Linked DNA regions of Xenopus tropicalis. The protein of the gene in region 2 interacts with the protein of the main gene of each other region in a pairwise test. Links are inferred from orthologs where the notes say so. Each region holds a gene or a part of one and is shown on either strand. Other genes may lie near its edges. The genes, in order: zc3h15, drg1 and rwdd1.

The links.
Region 1: the proteins of drg1 (region 2) and zc3h15 interact in binary tests that used the Homo sapiens proteins (3 or more experiments, as listed by UniProt). The two-hybrid records come from large-scale screens. The link is inferred for Xenopus tropicalis from reciprocal best matches to the Homo sapiens genes DRG1 and ZC3H15.
Region 3: the proteins of drg1 (region 2) and rwdd1 interact in binary tests that used the Homo sapiens proteins (3 or more experiments, as listed by UniProt). The two-hybrid records come from large-scale screens. The link is inferred for Xenopus tropicalis from reciprocal best matches to the Homo sapiens genes DRG1 and RWDD1.

The regions. Positions count from the first base shown.
Region 1 is NC_030685.2:45,954,513-45,958,761, reverse strand, and holds the start of zc3h15 (zinc finger CCCH domain-containing protein 15), read right to left. Parts: upstream 2,803-4,249; 5' UTR 2,698-2,802; coding exon 2,620-2,697; intron 1-2,619. UniProt on the Homo sapiens protein: Protects DRG1 from proteolytic degradation. Stimulates DRG1 GTPase activity likely by increasing the affinity for the potassium ions.
Region 2 is NC_030677.2:152,071,788-152,075,829, reverse strand, and holds the start of drg1 (developmentally-regulated GTP-binding protein 1), read right to left. Parts: upstream 2,837-4,042; 5' UTR 2,772-2,836; coding exon 2,730-2,771; exon of another isoform or gene 2,710-2,729; intron 2,527-2,709; coding exon 2,403-2,526; intron 1,232-2,402; coding exon 1,056-1,231; intron 258-1,055; coding exon 188-257; intron 106-187; coding exon 1-105. UniProt on the Homo sapiens protein: Catalyzes the conversion of GTP to GDP through hydrolysis of the gamma-phosphate bond in GTP. Appears to have an intrinsic GTPase activity that is stimulated by ZC3H15/DFRP1 binding likely by increasing the affinity for the potassium ions.
Region 3 is NC_030681.2:74,869,754-74,873,987, forward strand, and holds the start of rwdd1 (RWD domain-containing protein 1), read right to left. Parts: upstream 2,829-4,234; 5' UTR 2,745-2,828; coding exon 2,672-2,744; intron 511-2,671; coding exon 445-510; intron 1-444. UniProt on the Homo sapiens protein: Protects DRG2 from proteolytic degradation.

The DNA.
Region 1 (4,249 bases), on a different chromosome or scaffold from region 2:
ATAAGCAACATCAAACCCCCAAGACAAAGATAACAAAAAATAAAATCATTGAATACAGAAACAAAGGAGGCAAATTTATGATGTGCAGAAAAGATCCCACAAGGTAACAAACAATATACCAAAGAAGCTAATAACTGTATACACAACACCTCACCTGCATAATTATGCAATAATGCATAAGGTGGCATTGCGCTTTACCTATGGCAATTTCTACTGCCCGCAAGGGAAAGGGATTTTTGTCATCAAAGATAAGAAGTGGCTCCATTTGTCATTGCCAAGAGTTATTTGAATCACCTTACCCAAGACTATATTCTTGAAGATGCTTCCTGCATGAAATCTCACTCCCTAATCTAAGCAAGGAGCACTAATTAACTTTGGAGTGAAATATATGTCATCATCACTTTACATAGGAAAATCTTAGCGTCTATTGGTATATATCCAAATTACTAAATATTTACAATTCAGCTATAACATCTTTCAGACCTCCTGAGATGATAGTCTGCATAAAGACTATTCCAATGTGATTTCCTTTGCCAATTAGGATGCTAAAATACTGCTGATGGCTACGTTGATGCCAACAGGGCATTTGATGGATGTGTATGATGGTTGTACAGATGCAAAACGATGACTGCCTTAAGCAGTGACAAAATGTTTGTAAAATGTGTAAAGCAGAGCTCCTCTTTTATTTCCAACATTTCTTTTATTGATCATTCAAAAAAGTAAACTGAATACAGTGCAATACAACAGGTGTACTTATTGCTAGTTTTTCAATAAAGTTTAATACAACAATTTAATTGTGGTGCTTTCTCCTAATAGAGATACAATATAAATGTATGGTTGTAAAGCTAAGCTCCTCTACAATGGCCTCAAGGCCACAACAATGGTCAGTGTCACCATGAACAACACATTCTACTCCACAGACTGAAGGGCTTAGGTTGAGGGTAGCAGAGTAGAAAATAGCTTTTTATATGATATCCTTCTGTTGGCAAATCTTACCTCTTCCCCACCACTGCATCGGATCTCAAATTAATTTGGAAAATGTAAAGGGATGGCCATTAACTAGAGAAAATCCCTCATATTCCCACCAATCTCATGCCCTGGGAATGAAGGATTTTTCTGAGAGAGGAAGTCAGATACCCTAACAACATGTTTACAAAAAAGGAGACAAGAAACCCTGTGTTTCTTTTGATAGAGGACTTTTGATAGAGTGCAGTGTTTCTGTGAGTGCTTATGGCTGTATTTACATAGACCTTTCTGATAATGCTTACTTAGTTGTTACCTTTCCTTCCCCTTTAAAAGACAAGGAAAGTACCAATCACTGGGGTACCTATTTTTTAGTGATCAATTACTATTGCTTAACTATTTCGTCAGGCTAGTGCTATTTTAAAGGGGTTTTTCACCTTTGAATTAAGAACTTTCAACTGGTCTTCGTTCTTGATGGTTTTTGGGTTATTTATTTACTTATTTAGCAGCTTTCCAGTTTGCAATTTAAACAATCTGGTTGTCATGCATTGACTGGAATCCAAATAGGTGAAGGCCTGAATAGAAAGATTAGTATTAAAAAGTAGCAATAGCAATAAATTTGTAGCCTTACCACGGATTTTTCAAGCGTTTGCCGAAATACGCAAGTATTTGCACAGCAACCTATTCCTATGTATACACAAAGGCAGCTGCCAGACCTAGCGGAAATACGCGGCTTTTTTTACTATTTCGCACTATTAGCACCATGGAAACGGGATTTGCTACATCACCAGTACTAGGCTGAAAAACGCCATAGTCAGGGGCTGTGTGGCTTGTTCGGCGTTTTTAGGCTGAGAAAATATGCAGCGTAAAAACGCCACGTGTTGCATCAGCCTAAGGCAAATAATTAAAAACCAAAGGCTAATTGAAAAGTTGCTTAGAATTAGGATCGCTATAAAATACTAAAAGTTACCACCCCTTTAACGGAGAAGTACGTTGGGATAAACTCCTAAAAGCACAATTCAACAATCTTTACCTGCTTGCCAAGGCCCCTCTAGCAGTCCAGGACCACACATATGTAAAGTAAAGCTGCCCAGGATTGTGCACATGTGCAATAAAGTAAAAATCTGAATTTTTGATATACTTTTCATTTGAAGGGGCCACTGGGTAGCAGCCGAACATAGTGGTGATAATATGGATAAAAATTACAAAAAGTAATAGCAATACTAATGTCACATAAACAGTTTTTTTTTTTAATGCTATTATTACAATAATCAGCTTTTCTTAAGAATTGTACTATTCCCTGTAATCCAAAAACCATCCTTTCCTCCTTAGCCCTTATTGTGCTGGCCAGCCTTTACAGTATTCTTAGGTCTTTTAGGTTTCGAAATTGAAAAGACTATTGTTATTTTTGTATCATGGGAAAAAATGCTTTGCTTGTTATAATGTACTTATATTATAAAATGTTTCAAGAACGTATAATTGCTACAGGCATCAAAAATCCTACCATTATTAAGTCAGGAGGGTAAGGGAAATTGTCTTTTTTTATTTAATATTTTTACAGAGACTCCGGCGAGGAAGGCCATGTTAACTCGCAACTAAATCTAAAAAAACGTAACATGTATGCGTTTATTACAAACACAATACATATACGATTACCTCAATAATTTTTTCTTTTTTCTTTTGTTCAGTTTTCTTGCCGCTTTGCGGTGCTGCCGGCGCTTTCTTAGGCGGCATTATAAGACACGCTGCACTAACCCAACGTTACTCGTGGAAAAAACATTCGCTTTACGGCGCAATACAGTGCTCAATTGACGTAATTTCCCGTCTAACTATCGTGAGATTTCGCACGACATGATAACAAGAATCAACTTTGTGCGTTCCGTTTACGTAATAAAAATGTAGCATTTACCAAATAATATAATTCTTTTAGTTTTGATTTTTGCTATAAAACAAAATAACGTTACATCTGGGAAAATAATGTGGATAGCGTGGAATTTGTAACTGTTTAATGGAGCAGGTGTTTTATACAGGTGTGGGATTTGGTTTATTGGTGTTGGCTTATAAATAGTGAACGTTTTGGGTTTTTTTTTAATCAATTTTCTGTATTCAGATGATTAGTTCCTCGCTCCCAATCAACTATGAACCACTTTGTCGTTACGTTTAGAAGTATGAATTAGTTTATAAAAATTTAAGAAAAAGTTTTCGTATTATGCCAACTGGCGCAGAGCAATTACAAGCGCATCAGTCAGTGTTTTATACTGGCAATTTTTATGCGGGATTTGTACAAGCTCATCCGAAAATTATACACCTGGACCTTGGATTTGTCACAGCTATTACGAGTCCATGTTGGACGAATCCGATCGCACAGGAAAGATCAGCAGTAGGCAAGGCTGTTTTAGCTGTCACCTAGACTTTCCAAGTAGGTTTATTGGGAACTGAGTGCTAGAAAACTAGAGGAGCTCGGAGGAGTTACTGTACACAAACAACTCCATTAGGTAACCATTCAGGGTACTTCTAATTCAGGTTTTTAAAACAGTGGCTTCAAAACAGTGGCTTTAAAACCGGTTGTTGCTCAATATAGCACTATAATTTTTCTTTTCAGTTGCATTAAGAATTTGAGGCAGTATACTCTAAAAGTGTAGTTAGGATTGTCACCTTTTGTCCCTCATAATACCTACTGTTGGATCAGTTGCATTAGTTCAGCAGGTGGGATGATGGATTTGATGGGATGGAAAACTTGTGGCAAAGTGGGAAAATGGGCAAAGCAGAGACAAGTCTGATTTTATAAAGGGAATGGGGCAGCGGGGAGAAAGATATTATAGGGTATTACAAATTTACTGGCAAGTACATTGCTTCTATGATTGTAATAACTCCCCAGCCCTAGCTGATGATTTACTAGCTAGACTGGTCAAATTTCAGGTGGCAACACCAGTTGTAAATTAAAGTACACTGGGTACCCCTATAGCTTTATTAGTCCGTGCTCTGCTGCCTGTACAATTGATTTGACGCATTGTTACAGCTTCTGTTAGGGATATGCTTGCCCACAAATTTTTTTTCTTGCGTTTAATATTACCTGCACAGTCCAGCATGAGTATGTATGTATGTATATTTTAATTTATATAGCACTACGTATGTACACAGCGCTGTACAGCAGAACAATAAATGAATAAACAAGTAGGGACCATTACAATTAAATAAAAAGTACAGTTGCATTAATGATTACACAAAGACAAGAGGAAGGAGGTCCCTGCCCCGTAGAGCTTACAATCTAAATTGGAGGGTAACT
Region 2 (4,042 bases):
TCAATCTGATTCCAAATCCCTCCAGTTCATTCTCTATGATCTTCTTGTGTCCGAGTGGTTTCAGTACATCCAAAACAATAAGGATCAAGTTACATGTTCGTGCCACTAAACAAAACAAAAATACATCAGCAGTAAAAATGTGTCCATCGTCCTAGGAGACTCAATCCTCAAAAATTAAAGATCTTACCTGCAATCACCTGGCGACCACGGCCCTTTCCATCCTTTGCCCCTTCTATGATGCCTGGAAGATCTAGCAACTAAAAACAAAAATATACCATCTTTGGTCATTGAGCTTAATGTCTCCGCATTCAGAGCATATCCATCTCACAAATGAAAATGTCATATACTATCTCAAATGTCTCCTGTAGCTTTGGAGTCTAAAGGGCAACATTTAAAGCAAATTTGAGATTTCTTGGCAAACAACACTCTTGAAAAATGCTACAGAGCATTTCTAGGCTCACATTTATCATTTGCTGGTTACATTTTCTAAATTACACTCAAGTTTCACCATAGTGAAAATGCTTGAAAACATACTGCACAATATTTACACAGGTTTCTGTTGATTTTAGTAAAAAAAATTCAAAAAAAAATCAAGAAACTGTTGAGAATACTTCAGTGCAGAAAAAGTTCAGTTGAAATACACACTAATGTTTTGACTGGATTTTGACAGGTTTCAGCCTGCACTTTTTGAAAGAGAATAAAGGAGACAATAGAAATCTATTATTTAGAATGCTTGGGATTTTCTGGAAAAGGGATATTTCTGTATTTAAGTCTACTAATATAATTAAACATTTTTACCACCAATATGGATTCATACAGCTTAGTTTGCATCAAGAACAAGGTACAGTTTTATTATTACAGAGGATGTTAAATTATTTGCTTATAATGAAGTCTAAAAGAGATGGCCTTCCCATAATTCAGCAGTTTCTGTATAACAAGGTTTCTGGATAATGGAGTAGCCTTTATTTTTTTTTTTTTTTAAGATTTTGTATTTCAACTTAACCTCTGATAAATAAGCTGCTATTTTAATTATTTTATATAAGTAAAACAAACACCTGAATTTTTGCTCCTTTATATCGCACAACACCAGGAACTGTTGTTAAGGTGGTAAATTCATAGGCTGCCACTTCAGAATAAACTCCAGCCAAGTTACTGAGTAGTGTAGATTTCCCAACAGATGGGAACCCAACAAACCCAATTCGAGCATCTCCTGTCTTAGCAACATCAAAACCTAAGTAAGAGACACAAATCATACATGTAAACTGTCAGCACATATCAAAAATATCAGAAAAAATCATCATCCTTTGTGCTCTTGGCCATTCTAACAGCTTATATTACATGTGAGAGCAAAAAAAATATATAGTTGTAATAGTAAGAACTAAAGCCAATCACAGTCCCACAGATATTGTACCACTACTTGAAAATAGAACCATTAAAGCAGACAATTTATCTGTGAGCTCTGTGAGGGAGAACATAGGCTTGATTAGCAAAGGTATATTCAACAGTAGGTACCACAGTTGAGCTTATACAGGTTAGGATTTTTCAGTAATTTGAAGCACCATGCTTAAGTCTAGTAAATGACAACATTTACAAATAACCCAAACCAATAGGATTTTTTGCCATATCCAAAGGCCTTTTAAGATGTTTAAATGTAACTTTGAAAAAAGTCTTTTTTTTTTTTTTTTTTACTTAAAAAACACAGAAGTTGTACTCATTCATGTACATCTCCCCAACATTGCCATCTCCCCAACATTGCCAATGTGCAGATGAAGTAACATGCTTCTCAAAATCAGGAGGCTACTGGGTATCAAGGTGGTTGTTACAGGGGTTATACAAACATGTTTAATGATCTATGTCTTAGGTTCTCATGACTGACGCCCTACACCAAAACATAATAAGGTAGGTGCTGGATTCAGAAATGCTAATCATAGTGATAAACGTGGCACTGAGGAAGGAAACCAGGTTCCATATTTATGCATCTTGTTTATTTCAATAAGCCAAAAAGATAAAAAAATTATTAATAATGTACATGGAAACAGTGACTACCCAGTGTTAAAATTTTAGTAAAAGTGGAAGTTTGCCTTTAATTACCTTTTGGTATTTTATTAAGGGGCTTATTCCAAAAAGAATTCAAATGGAATTTATTATAAAATATATATATATATATACACACACACAAATGTTTTTGTTTTACTTATTATTTCTAATCTAGCCAGATTCAGCCTGCAAAAAAATACTTTCTGGTTATTGTTACTGGCCATGGCAATCAAAAAACAGATTCAACCAAGAGATTCTTATGTTCGATTATCTTTCTTTTCTGTTCTTCTTAAATCCCGATTTGCGAAACACAGCATGGTTGCCAGGGTAATTAGGCCCTGGCAACCAGATAGTAGTTGATATACCTTCTCCAGGTCCTCCTCCGCCGCCTCCTTTTGGGGTAATCAGCTCACGTCTTAGTTTGGCAAGACGAGCTTTCAGCAAACCCAGGTGATGAGCTGTGGCTTTATTTTTCTGTGTCCGGGCCATCTGCAGGACAGAAAGCAGGCGTGTCACTGTCATACCTGGCACAGGTTATTGTCATTATTGCCTTTATGTTATCATAAACCATGACTGTCCCACACAGCTGCTTCAGCCATAACCATTCATCCCAGTGATTATCCTTACACACGTGCTCTCAACTATGTCCCCAACAAGTCGATATGCGCTAACCCTCCAAGTGTCTCAGTCACCTCGGACTCTATCTCGGCGATCTTAGCCAGCGTCCCGCTCATTGTGCCTCTTGACTAGGTGGCTTTTCCAGCACGAATCAGTAACAGAAAAGACAGGACCTCGCAGGGACACCACTGCTCATGCGCAGACACAACAACCGGCAGGAATGACGTCACACACGTACGTTCGGCCTCTTCCTTTTAGCTGAGGATAGCCCTTCGTGACGCAGATTTTCCTACTCTATGGTAAAAGCTGTCTTACTGGACGTTTTGTGCGTCCAATCTGAAAGTTGCAAAAACATTATATAAAATATAGAAATGTATAAATGAGTATTTTTATAAAAGTGGTGTAACTAGTAGTTGCTGGACCTCACAGTAAATTGATTTTAGGGACCCCCCCCTAAACCTTGGGAATGAGCTATTTTTCATAAACATATACTGAAATAGAATATTTTATTTTTTTCATGCCAGTGTGGAGTCCTATACCTTAATGCAGGGGTAGGGAACCTATGGCTCGGGAGCCAGATGTGGCTCTTTTGTTGGCTGCATCTGGCTCACTGTCAAATCCTTAATAAAAAAAAATAATGGGGGGCGTGGCCTGTGCTCGGCGGATAGAAGACATGTTCTAAGCCTTAGAACATGTCTTCTATCTGCCGAGCGCAGGCCACGCCCTCCTCCACATCGCATCCGGCATCCTTGGCACCCACCCTACCTTGCCCCTGCGCTCGGCGGATAGAAGATGTGTTCTAAGCCTTAGAACACGTCTTTTCTCCGCCGAGTGCAGGCCACACCCTCCTCTGCTTCGCATCTGCATCCGGAATCCTTTGGACCCACCCTAACTTGCCCCGCAGCATCCGCGGCCAAATATATTGTATGGCTCTCACAGAATTACATTTTAAAATATGTGGTGTTTATGGCTCTCTCAGCCAAAAAGGTTCCCGACCCCTGCCTTAATGTGTCCTATAATGCATAAAAATAATAATTACAGAACGTTCAAAATATGCTGTCCGGGGGATGGGCCAGCACACCCCTGAAATTTTTTTCCAAAGACTGTAAGTGAATGATCCATGAGTGTGCGCCCCCAGAAGTGATATCATGTGCAAATGTGCAGCCAAAGCCTAAAAAATAGGTACTTGCACTTGTACAATGTATGGGGGAGTTGACAGCTCTGGAATTATGATAGCTCTTTTCATATACTATTCTAAAGTCGTGAATAATATAAATTGCATCTACCGACTTTACTATTTCTTCTAGGCTTGCCACCTGGCAAGTATTTTATCGGTGTGGTCGGTAAAAATGATGCTTAATGCCAATGTTATTAATAGGAAAAAAAG
Region 3 (4,234 bases), on a different chromosome or scaffold from region 2:
AGGTAGGCAGGAAATGACAATTTATAACACTTAAAACCATTCACCAGTGCAACACTGAACTGCAGTTCTCTCAGGAAGAACCACTGATCTAAACACCCTTCTCTGCTGGTATTCAATTCCTACTAAGCAGAATGGGAAACACACTGTCTATAGCAGACACTTCTGTGAGAAGAAATGATAAACGCACAGTGCCAGCCTGGTACAAGTATCTGCCCCAAACAGCACATTTACAATTCAAGTAAGTGAAAAACAGGGGCCAGCTAATAAGATTCTACAGATCCAAAGTTCTCCCGGACAGGACTTTGCCAAAAAAAAACAAAAACATCCCATGTGCTAGGGGTCTAAAAGGTTTCAGTTGTATTTCAGAAACAGACTTTCACTGTATTAAAATTGATAATACGACTAGTCACCTCACCATCTCTGAATGATAAAAAGGACACATACTTTCCTCATTTTCTCCTGCTTCTGATGTTACTGTGATGGAAAAACTTGTAGGAGTTGTGGATAACACTGCAAATAGAATAATACAGAAATAAGTTTAATATTAACATTTAACATAGCTTTTTAATGAACATTATCATCAAGAATATATTTCCTTGAATCAAACTGTAGAAATATGCATTTACACTGCTCCATGTCTTCCTTACAGAGAACCAGAAGAAGACATCTCTTTGACAATACAGACCTAGCAAAACTACCATAGATGAACTGGTGGTGCTGTGGCAAAAGCTAAAGAAAATCTTGCTTATTCCTGATATATCTCACACATAATATATGATCTCACCTTTAACATCTGGCTTACTTGCTTTTAGAATATAGCAATTCTAGAAACACACTCACAATAAGAGCCATTGCTCACACTACATAGCCATGACACCAACCCTTTATCTAAATTTCGCTAAGGCTAATGGCACATTGGAAGCAGCATCTGTTTTCTAGACCATTATCACAGTCCCTTATTCCTACAGAGGTTTTGGGGTCTACACACTTGTTATTGCACAACTGGCTGTGGACATTTCAAATAGCAGGTTTAAGCTGGCCATACACGCACCAATAATATTGTACAAAACCTCGTTTCGTACGATATTCGTATGGTGGCTCGACAAGGTGACCGATATCGAAAAAGGCTGTGGATAACTCGTCAATGGAGCAATTTAAAAGATTTTGATTGGGCGCCATTGAAGGCGCTCGAGCAAAACCTACATTCTGAATCAGCAGAAGGAGGTTGAATTTCTATTGGTTCTACCTCCATAACGTATGATTCAGTACTGCAACCAATGGCCACACGGAAGATAGAAATTGCTACGTGTGGCCACCTTTAAGGTGGCCATACACGCACCGATAATATCGTACGAAACCTCGTTTCGTACGATATTCGGTGCGTGTATGGTATGTCGGCGAGTCGACCGATATCGCAGGAAGCTGCCAATATCGGCCGACTCGCCGATCGGACCAGTTTGAACATTTTGATCGGGCGCCATAGAAGGCGCCTGACCAAAATCTCCCTTCAGCGCTGAATCGGCAGAAGGAGGTAGAAATCCTATTGTTTCTACCTCCTAACCTGCCGATTCAGCCCTGAATGGTGTGTTGCGGATCTGACGATATTTTGTGCGACCATCTGTATGGCCAGCTTTAGATTAATGGCATACTAAGTGCAGTATCTGCCGACGTACTCCTATCCGCTCTGCCGTCTCCCACTGAAATGGAGTCGGCCTGTGTGCAGACACACACAGCGGATATCTGCATGCCAATGTGAACCAATGCAATTTATTGCTGACAGAGAAAAGCTGAGGCTGTGCCCTGACAGTGCTGCAACAATAGAGTTTGCAGACCTTATGCTGCTGTGGAAATAAGGGGCTGCAACAAGGTGTGAACACAAACAGGGGTACCATTCAGTGCGGGTAAATACTATGCAAGTTCCTTGAAGTGATTACAATCTATGAAATATGGGAAATGTCTTGACTACAACAATCCAACTGATGCACAGAGATTCCAAACTGTGTATTATCAGGACCTTTAAAATGTAAAACATTTAAAAAAAAAAAATAGTATAACAATTATAGATTTTAAAAAAATATCCTGATCTTCAGCATGCAGTCCTGGCATTCCATCCCCACCATATGGGGTCTGTACTTTCACAAAAGTTAAAAAAGGGACCTCTTTGGTGCAGAAGGTATTTTTTCTAAGCTTTATTACATATAGTGCATAAGCTAGGGTAACAGACAGCCCATTATTACTGAATCTACATTAAAGAAACGTGAACGTTCTCTCTAGTTGCCCTGTAGCCCCAGACAGACAGGTGCTGAGAGTTGCAGTTTAAAAGCAGCAGGCGCTACTAAGGTCTGCTCGGATCACAACGTAGTCATTATATTTACAATTCAATACACTACAAACTGCGACAAATGTCTCCTGACCCAGACAGGCCTACGTGTGCGCTTCACTGGCCTAGCGTCCGACTGTCAAACTCATGTTAGCCAATGGGTCCCACGAGTTCCCTCACAACAACCATCAGTCAGGGTCTAACCCAACTCCCACTGGACTACAACACCCAGCAACACCTCGCAGACATCGAATGCCGTGGGATTCTGGGAGTTGTAGTTTACTCTCAGAAGGAAGGCTTCAGGATGTGCAAGCACTCAATGAAAGGAACCGGTTTTCAAGCGCTGCTCACCAGTAAAGGAGTCGGCATAAATAGACTCAAGAGCCTCCAGCTCATTACGCTGCTCCTCGGCGTAGTCCGTCATGGTGTGCGGGCCATGGAGCGATGTGTGCAGAGAAACAAGGAGAGCGCTCAGCCCCTGACTATGGAGCCGGGCCGGTCACGCTCGGGAAAGGATCGTCTTCTCTGGGAATGATTGCTTCCCCCTGGCCTGGGGCACCTCCCCCGCATCGCCATGGGTCCATATTAACCCTAGAGCTGCCAGAGGGATGCGGTCTGTACTAGTTGCTCTCTAGCGCCTAATAAACTACAAGTCCCAAGTCTACATTGGCAGGGGTGCGATCTGATAGGCTAGATAGTACTATAGGCACTGCAGTAATCACGAGTGAAGTCAGCCGGGTAAGTCATGCTCCTAGCTGGTTCCTTGTACATACGAATGTATATATGTATAATGTATCAAACTGCAAATATTTTTGTTTAAACTGTCTGGTTATATCTGAACAGAGTTGATTTTCAGAACTATTTTTTTCTAACTTTGCATGTCCTGGGTCAGTTCCCACAAAACTGCCTGTAAAAATGACTAGTAGTGTATAAGATGACGAGTACTGTTCTAAGCTGTAAAAAAAACTCGTATATAGCAGTGGTATCTATGGTGGATGGTTATATGTTTATCTTTAACCGGGAGTATTTTACACATTAAACTACATAGTTACATAGTTAAGTTGGATTGAAAAAAAAACAAAGTCCATCAAGTTCAATCCTTCCAAGTAAACCCAGCACACACACAAACCTATACTGACCTATCTATACACTCACATACATAAACCATATTTACCAACATCAGTACTAACTGTAGATATTAGTATCACAATAGCCTTGGATATTCTGATTGTTCAAGAACTCATCCAGGCCCCTCTTAAAGGCATTAACAGAATCTGCCATTACAACATCACTAGGAAGGGCATTCCACATTCTCACTGCCCTCACCGTGAAAAACCACCTACGCTGCTTCAAATGGAAGCTCCATTCCTCTAATGTAAAACAACCTCAATCTCGACAGTCTCACCTCATAGCTTAAATCTTCCATCCCCTTTACCAGTTTAGTTGCGCATCTCTGCACTCTCTCCAGCTCATTAATATCCTTCTTAAGGACTGGAGCCCAAAACTGCACTGCATACTCAAGGTGAGACCTTACCAGAGACCTATAAAGGGGCAAAATTATGTTTTCATCCCTTGTGTTCATCCATTTGGGATTTTTAGAAGCCTGTTTATTAAATAGTGAACTCTAACATTCGCCCATTAATAAAAATGCTTCTAAAAATCAAATAGGAATGAATAGAACATGGGTGAGATATTAAGTATTAAACTATAAATGCACATTTAGATAAATATTCCCTTTGTTGTCAGCACCTAGCAGCAGATTTCTAATCTGGTGCAGAGTGCAGCCAAACCCCAGACACAAGTGCTTTTTAAATAAATGCTAAGAGGTGAGCTTCTGGGGCCCTTAGTGTTTACGCAAGTTAGGGAGTGCACAAATGAGCGCCATACCCAGTGGCAAGCCATTGCGCTTCCATA